Saccharomyces cerevisiae S288C: one gene and its partners. The gene in region 1 interacts genetically with each later gene. Each region holds a gene or a part of one and is shown in the gene's direction. Other genes may lie near its edges.

Region 1 (4,561 bases):
TGTCCTATGGTGTGATCGGTTAGTGAAAGCTGGATGGGTTAATTGGCAAGATGATAGAATGCTACTATTTGTTATAGCAATCAGCTGGAACTTGCCAACGATGACTACCCTTATATATTTCACCGCCAGTTTTACGCCGCCAGAAACAACTGCGCCAATCCAAATGGAGTGTGTTTCATTTTTCTTAATGCTGCAATACCCGCTAATGGTTGTTAGCTTGCCATTTTTAGTGTCTTACTTTCTGAAAGTACAGATGAACCTTTAGTTTTAATCCATTAAACAAAAAATTATTACCACTCCTAATCACTGTTTTAGGGTGGGTTAAAATTAACATTCTCCATTTTTATATAGAACTAATAAAAAACACCTACTTATAGACACGACCAAACTTTCCACAACCTTTCATCAGAGAGAAATGTTGATCAAGTTGAATGCGTGAAAGTAGCAATTCGAAACAACAACTACCTGTCATTCTGCATAGTAGTAGTTACGAAAGGCACAGAAAATAACAAAAAAAAAAAAAAAGTCAATTTTCTACGGTCTCCATCCGTACCTCTTTAAATCCGTACATTATTGTTTTGCTTAATTTCAATATTTCGGAAAAAGCGAGCGCCCTGGTAAAATGTGGTTCAAGCCTGCGAGCCTTTGCTTGGTAACTCACCAAATGCAATTCAGTCACGTTCCACACAGTTTGGGTTTCCAGCCTGGCTTTAGGGAAGAATGGGCTCACTAGGCGTTCATAATACGCGGAGGGGGAAATACCAAATGCTATTGATTATGGTTAAAATATGTGTTATTTGACTTTGTATATACAAACAGAAGAGAAACCAACACACTAAAGACTAGACACATAACTGACCAATGTCCTCTGTCCAATCCAAGATCTTATCCCAAGCTCCAAGTGAGTTGGAATTACAAGTCGCCAAGACCTTCATCGATCTAGAAAGCTCCTCTCCAGAACTAAAGGCTGACTTGAGACCATTGCAAATCAAATCTATCAGAGAAGTATGTTAAAAGTTATATAATTTGGAAGCAGCAACATTGTGATTTCTTCTAAAGGGGTTCTTTGCAGTAATTTTTTCAAAAAAGAGTGATTTTGAGCAGTATCTGTATGAAATTTTCATGTGTTCGAGAAAAATAGTAATTCCGAGAGCTGTCAATACCATGAACGTTGCGATGAGCCTTTGAACTATAAAGGCCTCCTTGGTCAGTACCAATATCGATGAATAAAATAGAAGCACGCGAAAAAGACCTTACCCCAAGGAGAAGAATCACAAACCCTTTTTTGTTATGAATGAACCAATTCAGTTACTAACTTTATTTCAACGCTGCTTGATTCTTATTGTTTAGATTGATGTCACCGGTGGTAAGAAAGCACTAGTCCTTTTTGTCCCAGTTCCAGCTTTGTCTGCATACCATAAGGTCCAAACCAAATTGACCCGTGAATTGGAAAAGAAATTCCCTGACCGTCATGTTATTTTCTTGGCTGAAAGAAGAATCTTGCCAAAACCATCTAGAACATCTAGACAAGTCCAAAAGAGACCAAGATCCAGAACTTTGACTGCTGTTCACGACAAGGTTTTGGAAGACATGGTTTTCCCAACTGAAATTGTCGGTAAAAGAGTTAGATATTTGGTTGGTGGTAACAAGATCCAAAAGGTTTTGTTAGACTCCAAGGATGTTCAACAAATCGACTACAAGTTGGAATCTTTCCAAGCTGTCTACAACAAGTTGACTGGCAAACAAATTGTTTTTGAAATTCCAAGCCAGACCAACTAAATAGTGAGATAACTATCATTCTCATCATTTGTCATACTTAAAGAAAATAATATTAAGAAAAAATAATAAAAAAAGAAACATAGTTATGAGAATACAAAAGGAGGTTTCCAAAAAGTGGGCTTTTTTAATTCGAGTAAAATAATTATGAATGTATACTTAAATATATTTTGTATCTGTCAATATAGAGATGCTTTAATTGGTGTTTTGACATTTTGGAATACATATTGGGTTGATTTCCCAAGTTCTCGCTGCAATCAGATAAAAAGGAAAAAAAATAATGGTTGCTAAGAGATTCGAACTCTTGCATCTTACGATACCTGAGTATTCCCACAGTTAACTGCGGTCAAGATATTTCTTGAATCAGGCGCCTTAGACCGCTCGGCCAAACAACCACTTATTTGTTGAAGAAAAAGCATTATTTATCGCTAGACAACGATACGTCCATCAACAACCGTTAGTTCTTTCACATTGATATGCGGATTACTTATCTGAAGGAAAGGAAAAAGGCGTGGAACAAGTGAGCATTAACATAACCATCTGAAATCTTAGATGATCCCAAGTATGTGTAATTAGATCCGCCTCTTCGCCCAGCACATTGTCCATGCATTATCTGCTTACCTCTACGCGTACCTTGACATGGCGTGTTACGTGTTTCAACTTTGTATAATCAGAATTTCATTTGAGTATATTTTACAAGTCAAAAGCCCAAATGACGTATACTTGAAATAATTGAGGCACGTCCAATTGTGAGTGGCAAACCTTTTTTTCGGTATTCTAGATAGAGCTAATCGCGTATTTGCAATTATAGTTTACAATTCTTAGACGATTTCCGAAGAAAGTTAAAAATGCCCTTGAAAAAAAAATATGTAGGAAAGAGTGCATGCACATGAAGAAGAAAGAAAGAGCTAGGGAAAAAACGAAAAAGGAGCCTAAGGAAAAGAGTTAGGCGTTTACAACAGGACGAACCCGGAAGGAGAAAAGTTTGTAGTCTTGCAGTATCACAAACAGCAACCACGTTCATAGTCTGAAATACGTACAAATGAGTTCACCAGCGAACCTATTCCCTGGATTAAACGACATAACTGACGTGCTGGAGGAATTCCCACTGGCCACCTCCAGATATTTAACATTACTACACGAAATAGATGCAAAATGTGTGCATTCTATGCCGAATTTGAACGAGAGGATAGATAAGTTCTTGAAGAAAGACTTCAATAAAGATCACCAAACACAAGTAAGACTGCTCAATAATATCAACAAGATTTATGAAGAACTGATGCCATCGCTGGAGGAGAAAATGCATGTCTCATCCATTATGCTGGATAATCTAGACAGATTGACGTCCCGGTTAGAATTGGCGTATGAAGTCGCAATCAAGAACACAGAAATTCCTAGAGGTTTAAGACTGGGTGTGGACAACCATCCAGCAATGCACCTCCATCATGAACTAATGGAAAAAATAGAGAGCAAATCAAACAGCAAATCGTCGCAGGCACTGAAGAGCGAATCAAGAAGAGAAGCCATGGCTGCCAACAGGAGGCAGGGCGAACATTACTCCGCCAGCACACACCAACAAGACGACTCAAAGAACGACGCAAACTACGGAGGCAGCAGGCACGAGAGCCAAGACCACACTGGTAACAACACAAACTCAAGAAAAAGAGCCAACGCTGCCAATACCAACAACGCCGATCCAGAGACCAAAAAACGCAAGAGGAGAGTTGCCACCACAGCCGTTTCACCAAGCACTATCAGCACGGCAACTGCCGTCAATAATGGCAGGATAGGTACATCTACAGCGTCCAGGGGAGTTAGCAGCGTCGGAAACAGCAACAACAGCAGGATATCAAGACCAAAAACCAACGACTACGGCGAACCGCTCTACTGCTACTGTAACCAAGTGGCATACGGGGAAATGGTGGGGTGTGATGGCGCAGACTGTGAGCTAGAATGGTTCCATTTGCCATGTATTGGACTCGAAACTCTACCTAAGGGCAAGTGGTATTGCGACGACTGCAAAAAAAAACTGTGAAATAGCTCTCGGGCGAATATCGCCTTAAGGAAATATCTACTAAATACCGAATATATACATATATATATATCTTAGCTACATATATATATATCTTAGCGTTTTAACGGGCGTGGCCGTATCAATGGATCTGCAAGATACTTGGGCCCTACCGGTCTAGATAAAATATTCAAATCGATGGTGATGACGGCACGATAAAACGTAATAAATGATGAAATGACTTGTCACGGCGTAGCAGCGCCAGCAGCTCAGTCTAATCGCCGTACAGTGGGTGGTGTGGCTAATCGCTTAGGCTTTTTATTCAGAAGGACCTTTTCATTCACCTCGCCCCCCTTGGAGGTTCCTGCCTGACCCCTTTGCCCCTGGCCTCGCCCCTGCGCCATGTCTCTGCCTGGAGCGTGACATTTAGGACGGTGAAGCTAGGCAGGCCTTCAGAAATTAAACGGAACATGACAGCAAAGACGAAACAAAGCTGGAATAAGGGGATCTGGGAAAACGGGAAACAAGGTTCACATCAGCAAACATTTCTACCGAAAATCTGGGTAAACATTTATAGTACCCCAACATCTTAAGTTTTAGCCGTTGTCTTCTCTTATCGCCTAGAATCGCTCATTTCAAGCGTAACGCAATCCGGCTTTTGTTTTTTTTCCATTTTATTCATCCACTCTTTATCTGACTCTTCTGCACTATATTAATCAACTAGGAGAAAATTACTTGAGCAGAAAGATACGAGAGAATTACGGATAAAAAAAC
Region 2 (4,647 bases), on another chromosome or scaffold:
GACAAATCTGGAGTATGAAGACGTTACCGATCTTCCTAAGAATGGTTTACGATATGATTTGAATGATATATCCGTTGAGGTAATCGAAGATTTATACCGCCAGATTGAAGCTTTTTTGGTTCATTTCAAACTATCCAGAAGTTTTTTACAAATTTTCAAAAACTATGTCAATATTCTTATTCAAGAAGGCATCAATCCTTTACGCGATGAGTACTTCACAATATTGGAAGATGAACTGAAAGGTTTTTTCACTTTCAATTCTGTTATAGAAGAGATTTTAGAAATATTTTTAATCCACCCTCGCAACAAATTCATTGCATTGTCCCTTGCAGAATATACCTACGCTAAGAACAAAATCAGAAGACATTTTAATCACTGGAAGACTGTATGTGAATTGAATGAAGAGGCAAACAGGTTTGCAAATCAAGCAAAGCTGAGGGTACAGGAAGCCGTCTTCTATATTTGGAGTGATAAAACATTAAAATACTCACAGATGGCCAACGATGAAGCTGAAAGTTTTAGGAATACTTGGCTACTATTTCGCTCGTTCCAACAATGGATAACTTTAACACAAACTCTTAAGGAGCAGTCAAGGTTAGCAGATCAGGCCTTTTTGAATAAGATGTTTAGGAAAATTTTAAAGGCACAAGAGCATTGGAAACACTTAGAAACTGTTAACACTGACAACATTAAGAAGATATTTTTACGAACAACATTTCATATATGGAAGCTAAGACATAAAGAAATAAACTACCACGGGTTGGAAAGAAGGATTTTCGAAAGAATAAAACAGAAAGTTATAAACTATGAATACAATAAGAGCATTGCAGAAAAAGTGAGGTCGTTTTCTCTACAAAGAAAATATCTGAATAAATGGGAAAAGAAAAACATTGAAAACGAAGATAAACTTGGGGCACTTTATGAACTGGAGAATAAATTCATCAAACAAAAGTTTTTTCGCAAATTAAACCGGTCATTTCAACATAGTCAACAAGAGGCAATTGCAAAGAGTAAACTAAATCAGACACTTTTGAGGTGCGTTTTTGAGAAGATGTGGCTGAAAAGATTCGAAGACCATCTGCATTTGTATTCAATTGTAAGTCTAAAAGAGGCTAACCTCGTGAAGCGTATTTTTCATTCATGGAAAAAACTTCTATATATTGACCTCAAAGCAAGCGATTATTCGAGGACTAATTTGCTCAAGTCATCATTGCGAAGTTGGAAACTTGAAGTAAAGTTAAAAATATTTGAGCAGAAATGTAAAAAGAGTATTCAAGCAAGCGCGTATCGTACATGGAGGAAAAGAATACAGTATGGGAAAATATCGAGCGAACATGTTAAAACGGCATTTTGTGCAAAATATCTTGGTGTGTGGAAAAGGAGGATGCTACAAATGAATTCTATGAATGACGAAGCATCCAAATTTTACGAAGAGGGTCTCGTAAATGAGTGTCTAGCTATATGGAAAGAACGCCTGATTAAAACTAAGGAATTGGAGGATAGATACAATTTCTTATGTAAGACACATGCAATTTTGACTGTAAAACGGACGCTAATGCATATTGATAATGTTCATTTGCTATATACGAAACTGGCGCCCTCTATGGATAGAGTAAAGCTTTCTAAGGCCTTTTTAAAGTGGCGGAAAGCCACAAGGTTCAAAGTCAGGCATAAGTTAAACGATATTTTACACGTTTATGAAAAGAGTAAAGAGCGCGAACTTCAAAGCCAACTGTTCAACGCTTGGCGAAATAGATTTTGCTTCTACACAGAAGAATGTAACATTCAGGCTATTTCAAAGAGAAACTACCAGCTTGAAAAAATGGTGCTGAAGAAATTTAGAGAAAGACTTTTAGAGATAGTAAAATCAGAAGAATTAGCAGACGAAGTTCGCGAAGAATTTGTGTTAGTCAAGACGTTTTATATTTGGAAAACTCATCTAGACGAAATATTTTATATGAGTACATTATTGGAACAATCGGAAGCTAATAAACAATTCATAATTACATCCAAATTCTTGAAAATGTGGAGTCTTCGATTCCTAAAAATTAAGCGTAATGATGAGACAGTCGAGGTGTTTCGTCATCGGTGGGACAGGGCCACTGTAAGGGGATTGTTATTATTATGGAAAAATCGTTCAGACAGTTCTCCAAAGAGAAGGAAGGACTTCAATCTTAAACATGAACTAAAAACTCCCATAAGATCAGACTCTCAAAACGCCTCAACCATACCAGGCTCAGAAAGAATAAAGCAGCACAGAATGGAAGCGATGAAGTCGCATTATAGCAGGGCAAGAAGAGCCATACCAAGTCCGGTGAAATCTTCCAGTGTTCTTGATTCTACAGCTAAAAAACAGATCAACCTTGAAAGTACGACAGGCTTAAACGGATCTCCGACGCGAGGAAAACCTCTAAGGTATTCTCCTAGGCGTACCACTAGAAACATGCCATCCAAAGTTGACCATATTGATTTTGGCAGAATACCCGCTGTACCTTTTAGCCTAAGCGCCAATTCTCCTAAAATCGATCAAGATATGGATTATATAAGAGAGCATGATAAATCCCCGTTAAGTCGTAAACGTCAATAGATATATATATTATGTACGTATGTATGTGTGCATATGTAGTCGTAACCTTTCTTGCTTCTGAGATGCATACAATTACTAATAATATTCTCCAGGTCTATGAAAACATCACAACATACTATACTTTTCGTGTTCGCGTTGTAAGCTATAATGGAAAATGGACGCCATAACGCATTACTTAACAAACTACAGTTTGTCAATAGAGTTGTCCAGTAGAGTTAAAAGGTCAATTCAACCGGTCTTCAATAAGACATGTCACTGAATGACTTCCTAAGTTCCGTGCTACCTGTCAGTGAACAATTTGAATACTTATCGTTGCAATCTATTCCGTTAGAAACCCATGCTGTCGTAACCCCAAATAAGGACGACAAAAGGGTCCCAAAAAGCACGATCAAGACTCAACACTTCTTTAGTCTATTTCACCAAGGAAAAGTTTTTTTTTCATTAGAAGTGTATGTGTATGTCACGCTTTGGGATGAAGCAGATGCCGAACGGTTAATATTTGTATCAAAGGCAGACACTAATGGTTATTGTAATACGAGGGTAAGCGTTAGAGATATTACAAAAATAATATTAGAATTTATATTATCAATCGACCCGAATTACTATCTTCAAAAAGTAAAACCGGCAATAAGATCATATAAGAAGATATCCCCCGAGCTGATTAGCGCAGCCAGTACGCCAGCAAGAACTTTAAGGATTTTGGCTAGAAGGCTTAAACAGTCAGGCAGCACCGTTTTGAAAGAAATAGAATCTCCACGTTTTCAACAAGATCTTTATCTCTCATTCACCTGTCCTCGTGAGATTTTGACCAAAATTTGTTTATTTACTAGACCTGCATCCCAGTACCTCTTCCCAGATTCTTCAAAAAACAGCAAAAAGCATATACTAAATGGCGAGGAACTAATGAAATGGTGGGGCTTTATTTTGGATAGATTACTAATTGAATGCTTTCAAAATGATACACAAGCAAAATTAAGGATACCGGGCGAAGATCCTGCTCGAGTAAGATCATACCTAAGAGGGATGAAATATCCACTATGGCAAGTGGGTGATATATTTACCTCTAAAGAAAATTCTCTTGCGGTATATAATATTCCATTATTCCCAGACGATCCTAAGGCTAGATTTATACACCAATTGGCAGAGGAAGATCGCCTCCTCAAAGTAAGCTTATCATCCTTCTGGATTGAACTACAAGAGCGTCAAGAGTTCAAATTAAGTGTCACATCATCTGTAATGGGTATTTCGGGATACTCTCTTGCCACTCCATCTTTATTTCCATCTAGTGCCGATGTTATTGTACCGAAGTCAAGGAAGCAGTTTAGGGCAATCAAGAAGTACATTACTGGAGAGGAATACGATACAGAGGAAGGCGCAATAGAAGCTTTCACCAATATTCGTGATTTTCTATTGCTCAGAATGGCAACAAATCTTCAATCTTTAACAGGGAAGAGGGAGCATCGGGAGAGAAATCAGCCGGTTCCTGCAAGCAACATCAACACGTTGGCGATAACAATGCTAAAACCGCGTAAAAAAGCTAAAGCCTTGCCTAAAACTTGATACATATTGATATTTATTATTTAGTACACGTATGTAGCATCGATCTTAGAAAATGCATGTTTGTATTTATTGTTAGTACCTTGATCGCCACCTTTCTAGGTAATGATAGGTCCTCAACTTTTACTACGCGGTGCACGCCTGTAAGGTCGGGCAAAACAAAGTGTGGGAACAATAAATAAGAGGGTAGGATGAAATATTACCTTTACTCTACTGCTCAGGTTGGCCACAATTTGCTAAAGAGTTTATCATTAAGTAGCTACCAGCGAATCTAAATACGACGGATAAAGAATGGCTAGTTTAGAAGATCTTATTCCTACTGTCAACAAGCTGCAGGATGTTATGTACGACTCCGGGATCGATACACTCGATTTGCCCATTTTAGCTGTTGTTGGGTCACAATCCTCCGGGAAATCCTCGATATTGGAAACGTTAGTTGGAAGAGATTTTTTACCTAGGGGTACTGGTATTGTCACAAGAAGACCGTTAGTTCTTCAACTTAA
Region 3 (7,422 bases), on another chromosome or scaffold:
ACTGAGACAAAGAGAATCGTCTTCCATCAGCGTCAGTGAGGAACTTTCGAGCGCTGATGAGAGAGACGCGGAAGATTTCTCGAAGGAAAAGCCCGCTGCACAAAGCTCACTGTTACGCCTGGAATCCGTTGTAATGCCGGTGATCTTTACTGCATTGGCGTTGTTTACCAGGATGTACAAAATCGGCATCAACAACCATGTTGTTTGGGATGAGGCGCACTTTGGTAAATTTGGTTCTTATTACTTGAGACACGAATTTTACCACGATGTCCATCCTCCCCTAGGAAAAATGCTGGTCGGGTTGTCTGGTTATTTGGCAGGCTACAACGGTTCTTGGGACTTCCCTTCTGGGGAAATTTACCCAGACTATTTGGATTATGTTAAAATGAGACTGTTCAACGCGTCATTTTCCGCGCTCTGTGTGCCATTGGCCTACTTCACTGCCAAAGCTATTGGATTTTCTTTACCAACAGTTTGGCTGATGACCGTGTTGGTTTTGTTTGAAAACTCGTATAGTACTTTGGGCAGGTTCATTCTTTTGGACTCCATGCTACTTTTCTTCACTGTCGCATCGTTCTTTAGTTTTGTTATGTTCCACAACCAGAGGTCCAAGCCGTTCTCTAGAAAGTGGTGGAAATGGCTGTTGATCACTGGTATTTCTTTGGGTTGCACTATTTCCGTCAAAATGGTGGGTCTATTTATCATCACTATGGTCGGTATCTATACTGTGATTGACTTATGGACCTTTTTGGCAGATAAATCCATGTCATGGAAAACCTATATTAACCACTGGTTGGCAAGAATATTTGGTCTTATTATCGTCCCCTTCTGCATTTTCCTATTGTGCTTCAAAATACATTTTGACCTATTATCGCATTCTGGTACAGGTGATGCTAACATGCCATCTCTTTTCCAAGCAAGATTAGTGGGTTCTGACGTCGGACAAGGCCCCCGTGACATTGCTCTAGGTTCCTCCGTTGTTTCCATCAAAAACCAAGCTCTTGGAGGATCTCTATTGCACTCACATATACAAACTTATCCAGATGGGTCCAACCAACAACAAGTAACCTGTTATGGTTACAAAGATGCTAACAACGAATGGTTTTTCAACAGAGAAAGAGGCTTACCATCATGGTCAGAAAACGAAACTGACATCGAGTATTTGAAGCCAGGTACCTCCTATAGATTGGTACACAAAAGCACGGGCAGAAACTTGCACACCCACCCAGTTGCTGCACCAGTGTCAAAGACACAATGGGAGGTTTCTGGTTACGGTGACAATGTTGTTGGTGACAACAAAGACAATTGGGTTATTGAGATCATGGACCAAAGAGGAGATGAAGACCCTGAGAAGTTGCACACATTGACCACCTCTTTCCGTATCAAGAACTTGGAGATGGGCTGTTACTTGGCTCAAACCGGTAACAGTTTGCCCGAATGGGGTTTCAGACAACAAGAGGTTGTCTGCATGAAAAACCCATTCAAGAGGGACAAGAGGACCTGGTGGAACATCGAGACCCACGAAAATGAAAGGTTGCCACCAAGACCCGAAGATTTTCAATACCCAAAGACCAACTTCTTAAAAGACTTCATTCATTTAAATCTAGCCATGATGGCCACTAATAACGCTTTGGTGCCAGATCCAGACAAATTTGATTACTTAGCTTCCTCAGCATGGCAATGGCCAACTTTGAATGTGGGTTTGAGACTATGTGGCTGGGGTGATGATAATCCAAAATACTTCCTATTGGGTACCCCAGCTTCCACGTGGGCTTCTAGTGTTGCCGTCCTCGCATTCATGGCCACGGTCGTTATCTTACTGATCAGATGGCAAAGACAATATGTGGACCTAAGAAATCCATCTAACTGGAACGTTTTCTTAATGGGCGGGTTCTACCCACTACTAGCTTGGGGCCTACACTACATGCCATTCGTTATCATGTCTAGAGTCACCTACGTTCATCATTACTTGCCTGCCTTGTATTTTGCACTGATCATTTTGGCGTACTGTTTCGACGCCGGTTTGCAAAAATGGTCCAGATCTAAGTGCGGCCGTATCATGCGGTTCGTCCTATACGCCGGATTCATGGCACTTGTAATTGGTTGCTTCTGGTACTTCTCCCCAATATCATTTGGTATGGAGGGACCAAGTAGTAACTTCCGCTACTTAAACTGGTTTTCCACTTGGGACATTGCCGACAAGCAAGAAGCATGAATTAAGATCATCGTAGTAAGTACATAAGTAAAAAACAAGAATTAAATAAAATTTCTATATCAACCAGCAGAAGAAGTGGTCTATATAAACCACTATATAATGAATTTCGATAAACACTCTTTAATTGTTAACCAGGCTGTTCTCCTTACTCATCTTTGCGATCCGATGCTGTTTTATTACCCTTCTATTTTTTCCTTTCTGCATTTTGATTTTCGCGAATAATGAAATTCTTGATCTTTTTATCAACAATGAAAAAAAAACTGTAAACAGAAACTGATAATTTCTTGAACCCTTTAGCCCACCCCAACCGTACTCGTGTTATTCGCTCGTTGATTTACGCGAACCTTTTTGTTTGCTTTACATAGCCTCTAGCCATTCAAAGATTCGCTACCCTGAACCATGGAAATATTTAGCCAGAAAGATTACTACCCGACTCCATCCTCAAATGTTATTAGCTATGAAAGCGATTGTGTATCCAAACCAGTGAATAGTGCAGACCTGCCCGCGTTAATTGTACACCTTTCTTCCCCTTTGGAAGGTGTAGACTACAACGCATCTGCAGATTTTTTCCTTATTTATAGGAATTTTATAACGCCTCAAGACTTACACGACTTACTCATCTATAGATTTCGATGGTGTATTAGGGAGATCACAACAAATGCTGCAAAAGCTAAGAGAAGGCGAATTGGTGAAGTTGCCCTCGTGAGGACGTTTGTGTTGTTGAGGCATTCCATACTGAATTATTTTGTGCAAGATTTTTTACCGAACATAACATTAAGACTTCGGTTGATCGAGTTTCTAAACGACAAACACATTGAACAGTACCCAAAAATAATTTCCAGCTGTATAATCAATCTGAAAAAAAACTGGGTGCATTGTTCTAAGTTGGTTTGGGAGAATATTGAACTAAATGAACCTGATAAATTAGACTTTGATGCATGGCTGCATTATTCGTTAAAGGATTTCACGCAACTAGAAAGCCTACACAAAAGAGGAAGCCGACTGAGCATTTACGCCAGGCAAAGTTTTGCCAGTCCTGATTTTCGTAACCAAAGCGTTTTATCATTATATAAAACTTCTGATGTATTTAGACTGCCGGAGAAGCTACAGTCTTCAAATTCTTCCAAAAACCAGAGAAGCCCTTCTATGCTTTTATTTCCCGATAATACATCAAATGTTTACTCGAAGCACCGAATAGCGAAAGAACCTTCAGTTGATAATGAAAGCGAGGACATGTCAGATAGTAAACAAAAGATCAGCCACTTGTCAAAAGTCACTCTAGTATCCACACTAATGAAAGGCGTAGACTACCCGTCATCATATGCAGTCGATAAAATAATGCCTCCAACACCGGCTAAAAAAGTTGAATTTATTCTGAATTCCTTATATATTCCTGAAGATTTAAATGAACAAAGCGGAACGCTTCAAGGTACATCGACGACATCATCTCTAGATAACAATAGCAACAGTAATAGTAGATCTAATACATCTTCAATGTCTGTGTTACATCGCAGCGCTATTGGTCTTTTAGCTAAGTGGATGAAAAACCATAATCGCCATGATAGCAGTAATGATAAAAAATTTATGAGTGCTATTAAACCAGCAAACCAGAAACCTGAAATGGATGCGTTTGTCAAATACGTTGTATCAATATCATCTCTCAATAGAAAATCTTCCAAGGAAGAAGAGGAAGAGTTTCTTAACTCTGATTCTTCTAAATTTGACATCCTAAGTGCAAGAACCATAGATGAAGTGGAGTCCCTACTGCATTTACAAAACCAGCTGATAGAAAAAGTTCAAACACATTCGAATAACAACCGAGGTCCTACAGTTAATGTTGATTGTGAACGTCGGGAACACATACATGATATAAAGATTTTACAACAAAATAGCTTTAAACCGAGTAATGATAATTTTAGCGCTATGGACAATTTGGATCTGTATCAAACCGTAAGTTCAATTGCTCAGTCAGTCATCTCTTTAACTAATACTTTAAACAAGCAACTGCAGAACAATGAATCGAATATGCAGCCATCACCCTCGTATGATGCACTGCAACGAAGGAAAGTAAAAAGTCTCACGACAGCATATTACAATAAAATGCACGGTAGCTACTCAGCAGAAAGTATGAGGCTCTTTGATAAAGATAATAGTTCTTCACGTACAGACGAGAATGGACCTCAAAGATTGTTATTCCATGAAACTGATAAAACCAACTCAGAAGCGATTACAAATATGACACCAAGGAGGAAAAATCATTCCCAATCCCAAAAAAGCATGACTTCTTCGCCTCTGAAAAATGTTCTACCTGATCTTAAAGAATCGTCTCCCTTAAACGATAGTAGGGAAGACACAGAATCAATAACATACTCATACGATTCCGAGTTGTCATCCAGCTCTCCACCCAGAGATACTGTAACGAAAAAGTCAAGAAAAGTCAGAAACATCGTGAATAATACAGATAGTCCAACTCTAAAAACAAAAACTGGATTTTTAAATCTAAGAGAGTTTACATTTGAAGATACCAAGTCTTTAGATGAGAAAAAGAGTACTATAGATGGCCTTGAAAAGAATTATGATAACAAAGAAAATCAGGAATCAGAATATGAGAGCACAAAAAAGCTGGACAACTCACTCGATGCATCATCAGAAGCCAATAATTATGATATAACTACAAGAAAAAAACATTCATCTTGCAATCACAAGATCAAACAAGCAGTTGTAAGACCGGCTAGTGGAAGGATCAGCATTTCAAGAGTTCAAAGCATTGCCATAACACCAACCAAAGAGTTATCCATAGTAGATCCTGAGCAAAACAAGTCAAACTCAGTTATAGAGGAAATAAGTGAAATAGAACCTCTCAACCTGGAATATAATAAAAAAAGCGCGTTGTACTCTGATACATCGTCCACCGTTATCAGTATCTCAACGAGCAAGCTTTTTGAATCTGCTCAGAATAGTCCTCTAAAACAAACTCAAAATCCACAGAGAGAATTTCCCAACGGGACCAGCGTGAGTGAAACCAATAGAATCAGATTATCCATAGCACCCACAATAGAATCTGTTGTAAGTGATTTGAATTCGATTACCACTGGTAGCACAGTTGAAACTTTCGAAACGTCCAGAGATTTACCAGTGCCACACCAAAGGATAATAAATTTGAGAGAAGAATATCAAAGGGGTAATCAAGATATAATCTCAAATACTTCTTCATTGCATGAGTTAAAAACAATTGATTTAAGCGATTCCAATAATGACCTAGAAAGTCCAAGTACCCATGCGAAAAACAACAAGTATTTTTTTTCACCAGATGACGGTAGCATTGACGTTGCTTCTCCAATGAAAAACGTTGAAGAGCTGAAAAGTAAATTTCTGAAGAACGAGAGTGAAACTAATAGTAACATATCAGGAAGTGTATTGACAATGGACGATATCGACATTAATGACACATCTAGTGCCCGGAACACACGGAGAGCAAACTCTGAGTCGGCTTTTACAGGCTCCTTGAATAAGAAAAATTTAAATGAAATTGCTAATATGCTCGATGATTCAATTAATGACGATCCAATAACCGTGGCATTAATGAAACTGGAAGGTACATACGAGAAAATTCCCGAAAAACCAGAGAACACCAAGAGTAGTGACGCTATTGGAATTAAAACGAGCAAGTTAGCAGATGAAGTGGAAATGCTAAACCTTAACAACTTGCCGTCATTCCAAAATAGCCCCGCAGAAAAAAGAAAATCGTTATTAATAGAAAGAAGGAGACAAACTATAATGAATATCCCCTTTACTCCAGATCAATCCGAGAAGGAAGGCTTTACTTCCTCCTCTCCTGAAAAAATAGACGTGTCAGCTAATGTTGATGTTGCTGTGCAAGCGGCGCAAATCCAGGAATTAATCGGTCAATACAGGATTCACGATTCGAGATTAATGATTTCTAATAATGAAAGTCACGTTCCATTTATACTAATGTACGATTCCCTGTCTGTAGCGCAACAAATGACCTTGATAGAGAAGGAAATTTTAGGAGAAATAGACTGGAAAGATTTATTAGATTTAAAGATGAAGCATGAAGGCCCACAAGTTATAAGTTGGTTGCAACTACTAGTAAGGAACGAGACCTTATCTGGCATTGATTTAGCTATATCCAGATTTAACTTAACTGTGGATTGGATTATATCAGAAATACTTCTTACCAAGAGCAGCAAAATGAAAAGAAATGTCATTCAAAGGTTTATACACGTTGCAGACCACTGCAGGACATTTCAGAACTTTAACACATTGATGGAAATCATTCTAGCCTTAAGTTCTTCAGTTGTTCAAAAATTCACTGATGCATGGCGTCTGATTGAACCAGGCGACTTACTGACTTGGGAAGAGCTAAAGAAGATTCCCTCGCTAGACAGGAATTATTCTACAATAAGAAATCTACTTAACTCTGTGAATCCACTGGTGGGTTGCGTCCCTTTCATCGTCGTATATCTTTCGGACCTATCAGCAAACGCAGAGAAGAAAGACTGGATCTTAGAAGATAAAGTAGTGAATTACAATAAATTCGATACGAACGTTCAAATAGTCAAGAATTTCATTCAAAGGGTTCAATGGTCCAAGTTTTACACTTTCAAAGTTAACCACGAATTGCTGAGTAAGTGTGTTTATATTAGCACATTAACACAAGAAGAGATTAATGAACTATCCACATGAGGTATTGTGCCACTTTCCTCCAGTTCCCAAATTCCTCTTGTAAAAAACTTTGCATATAAAATATACAGATGGAGCATATATAGATGGAGCATACATACATGTTTTTTTTTTTTTAAAAACATGGACTCGAACAGAATAAAAGAATTTATAATGATAGATAATGCATACTTCAATAAGAGAGAATACTTGTTTTTAAATGAGAATTGCTTTCATTAGCTCATTATGTTCAGATTATCAAAATGCAGTAGGGTAATAAACCTTTTTTTTTTTTTTTTTTTTTTTTGAAAAATTTTCCGATGAGCTTTTGAAAAAAAATGAAAAAGTGATTGGTATAGAGGCAGATATTGCATTGCTTAGTTCTTTCTTTTGACAGTGTTCTCTTCAGTACATAACTACAACGGTTAGAATACAACGAGGATATGTCCGACGAAATTGTTTGGCAAGTGATTAATCAAAGTTTCTGCTCTCATAGAATTAAGGCACCTAATGGTCAAAATTTT

What was found.
Region 2: mutations in PHO23 (region 1) and RTT109 together harm fitness more than expected from each alone (negative genetic interaction), as found in Saccharomyces cerevisiae (5 studies listed by BioGRID).
Region 3: mutations in PHO23 (region 1) and LTE1 together harm fitness more than expected from each alone (negative genetic interaction), as found in Saccharomyces cerevisiae (5 studies listed by BioGRID, with this or other methods).

The regions. Positions count from the first base shown.
Region 1 is NC_001146.8:440,616-445,176, reverse strand, and holds PHO23 (Pho23p), read left to right. Parts: upstream 1-2,818; coding exon 2,819-3,811; downstream 3,812-4,561. Other genes in the region: YNL095C (uncharacterized protein), read left to right, coding at 1-265; 40S ribosomal protein eS7 RPS7B, read left to right, coding at 862-1,005, 1,351-1,779; PLS1 (Pls1p), read left to right, coding at 4,258-4,380. UniProt on the Saccharomyces cerevisiae protein: Component of the RPD3C(L) histone deacetylase complex (HDAC) responsible for the deacetylation of lysine residues on the N-terminal part of the core histones (H2A, H2B, H3 and H4).
Region 2 is NC_001144.5:143,455-148,101, forward strand, and holds RTT109 (H3 histone acetyltransferase RTT109), read left to right. Parts: upstream 1-2,836; coding exon 2,837-4,147; downstream 4,148-4,647. Other genes in the region: SFI1 (Sfi1p), read left to right, coding at 1-2,587; dynamin-related GTPase DNM1, read left to right, coding at 4,436-4,647. UniProt on the Saccharomyces cerevisiae protein: Histone chaperone-dependent acetylase that modifies 'Lys-9', 'Lys-14', 'Lys-23', 'Lys-27', and 'Lys-56' on histone H3 (H3K9Ac, H3K14Ac and H3K23Ac, H3K27Ac, and H3K56Ac) to promote nucleosome assembly, genomic stability, DNA repair and transcriptional regulation during mitotic S-phase.
Region 3 is NC_001133.9:101,065-108,486, reverse strand, and holds LTE1 (mitotic regulator LTE1), read left to right. Parts: upstream 1-2,614; coding exon 2,615-6,922; downstream 6,923-7,422. Other genes in the region: dolichyl-phosphate-mannose-protein mannosyltransferase PMT2, read left to right, coding at 1-2,215; ribosome biosynthesis protein MAK16, read left to right, coding at 7,342-7,422. UniProt on the Saccharomyces cerevisiae protein: GDP-GTP exchange factor for TEM1, a Ras-like protein, component of the mitotic exit network (MEN).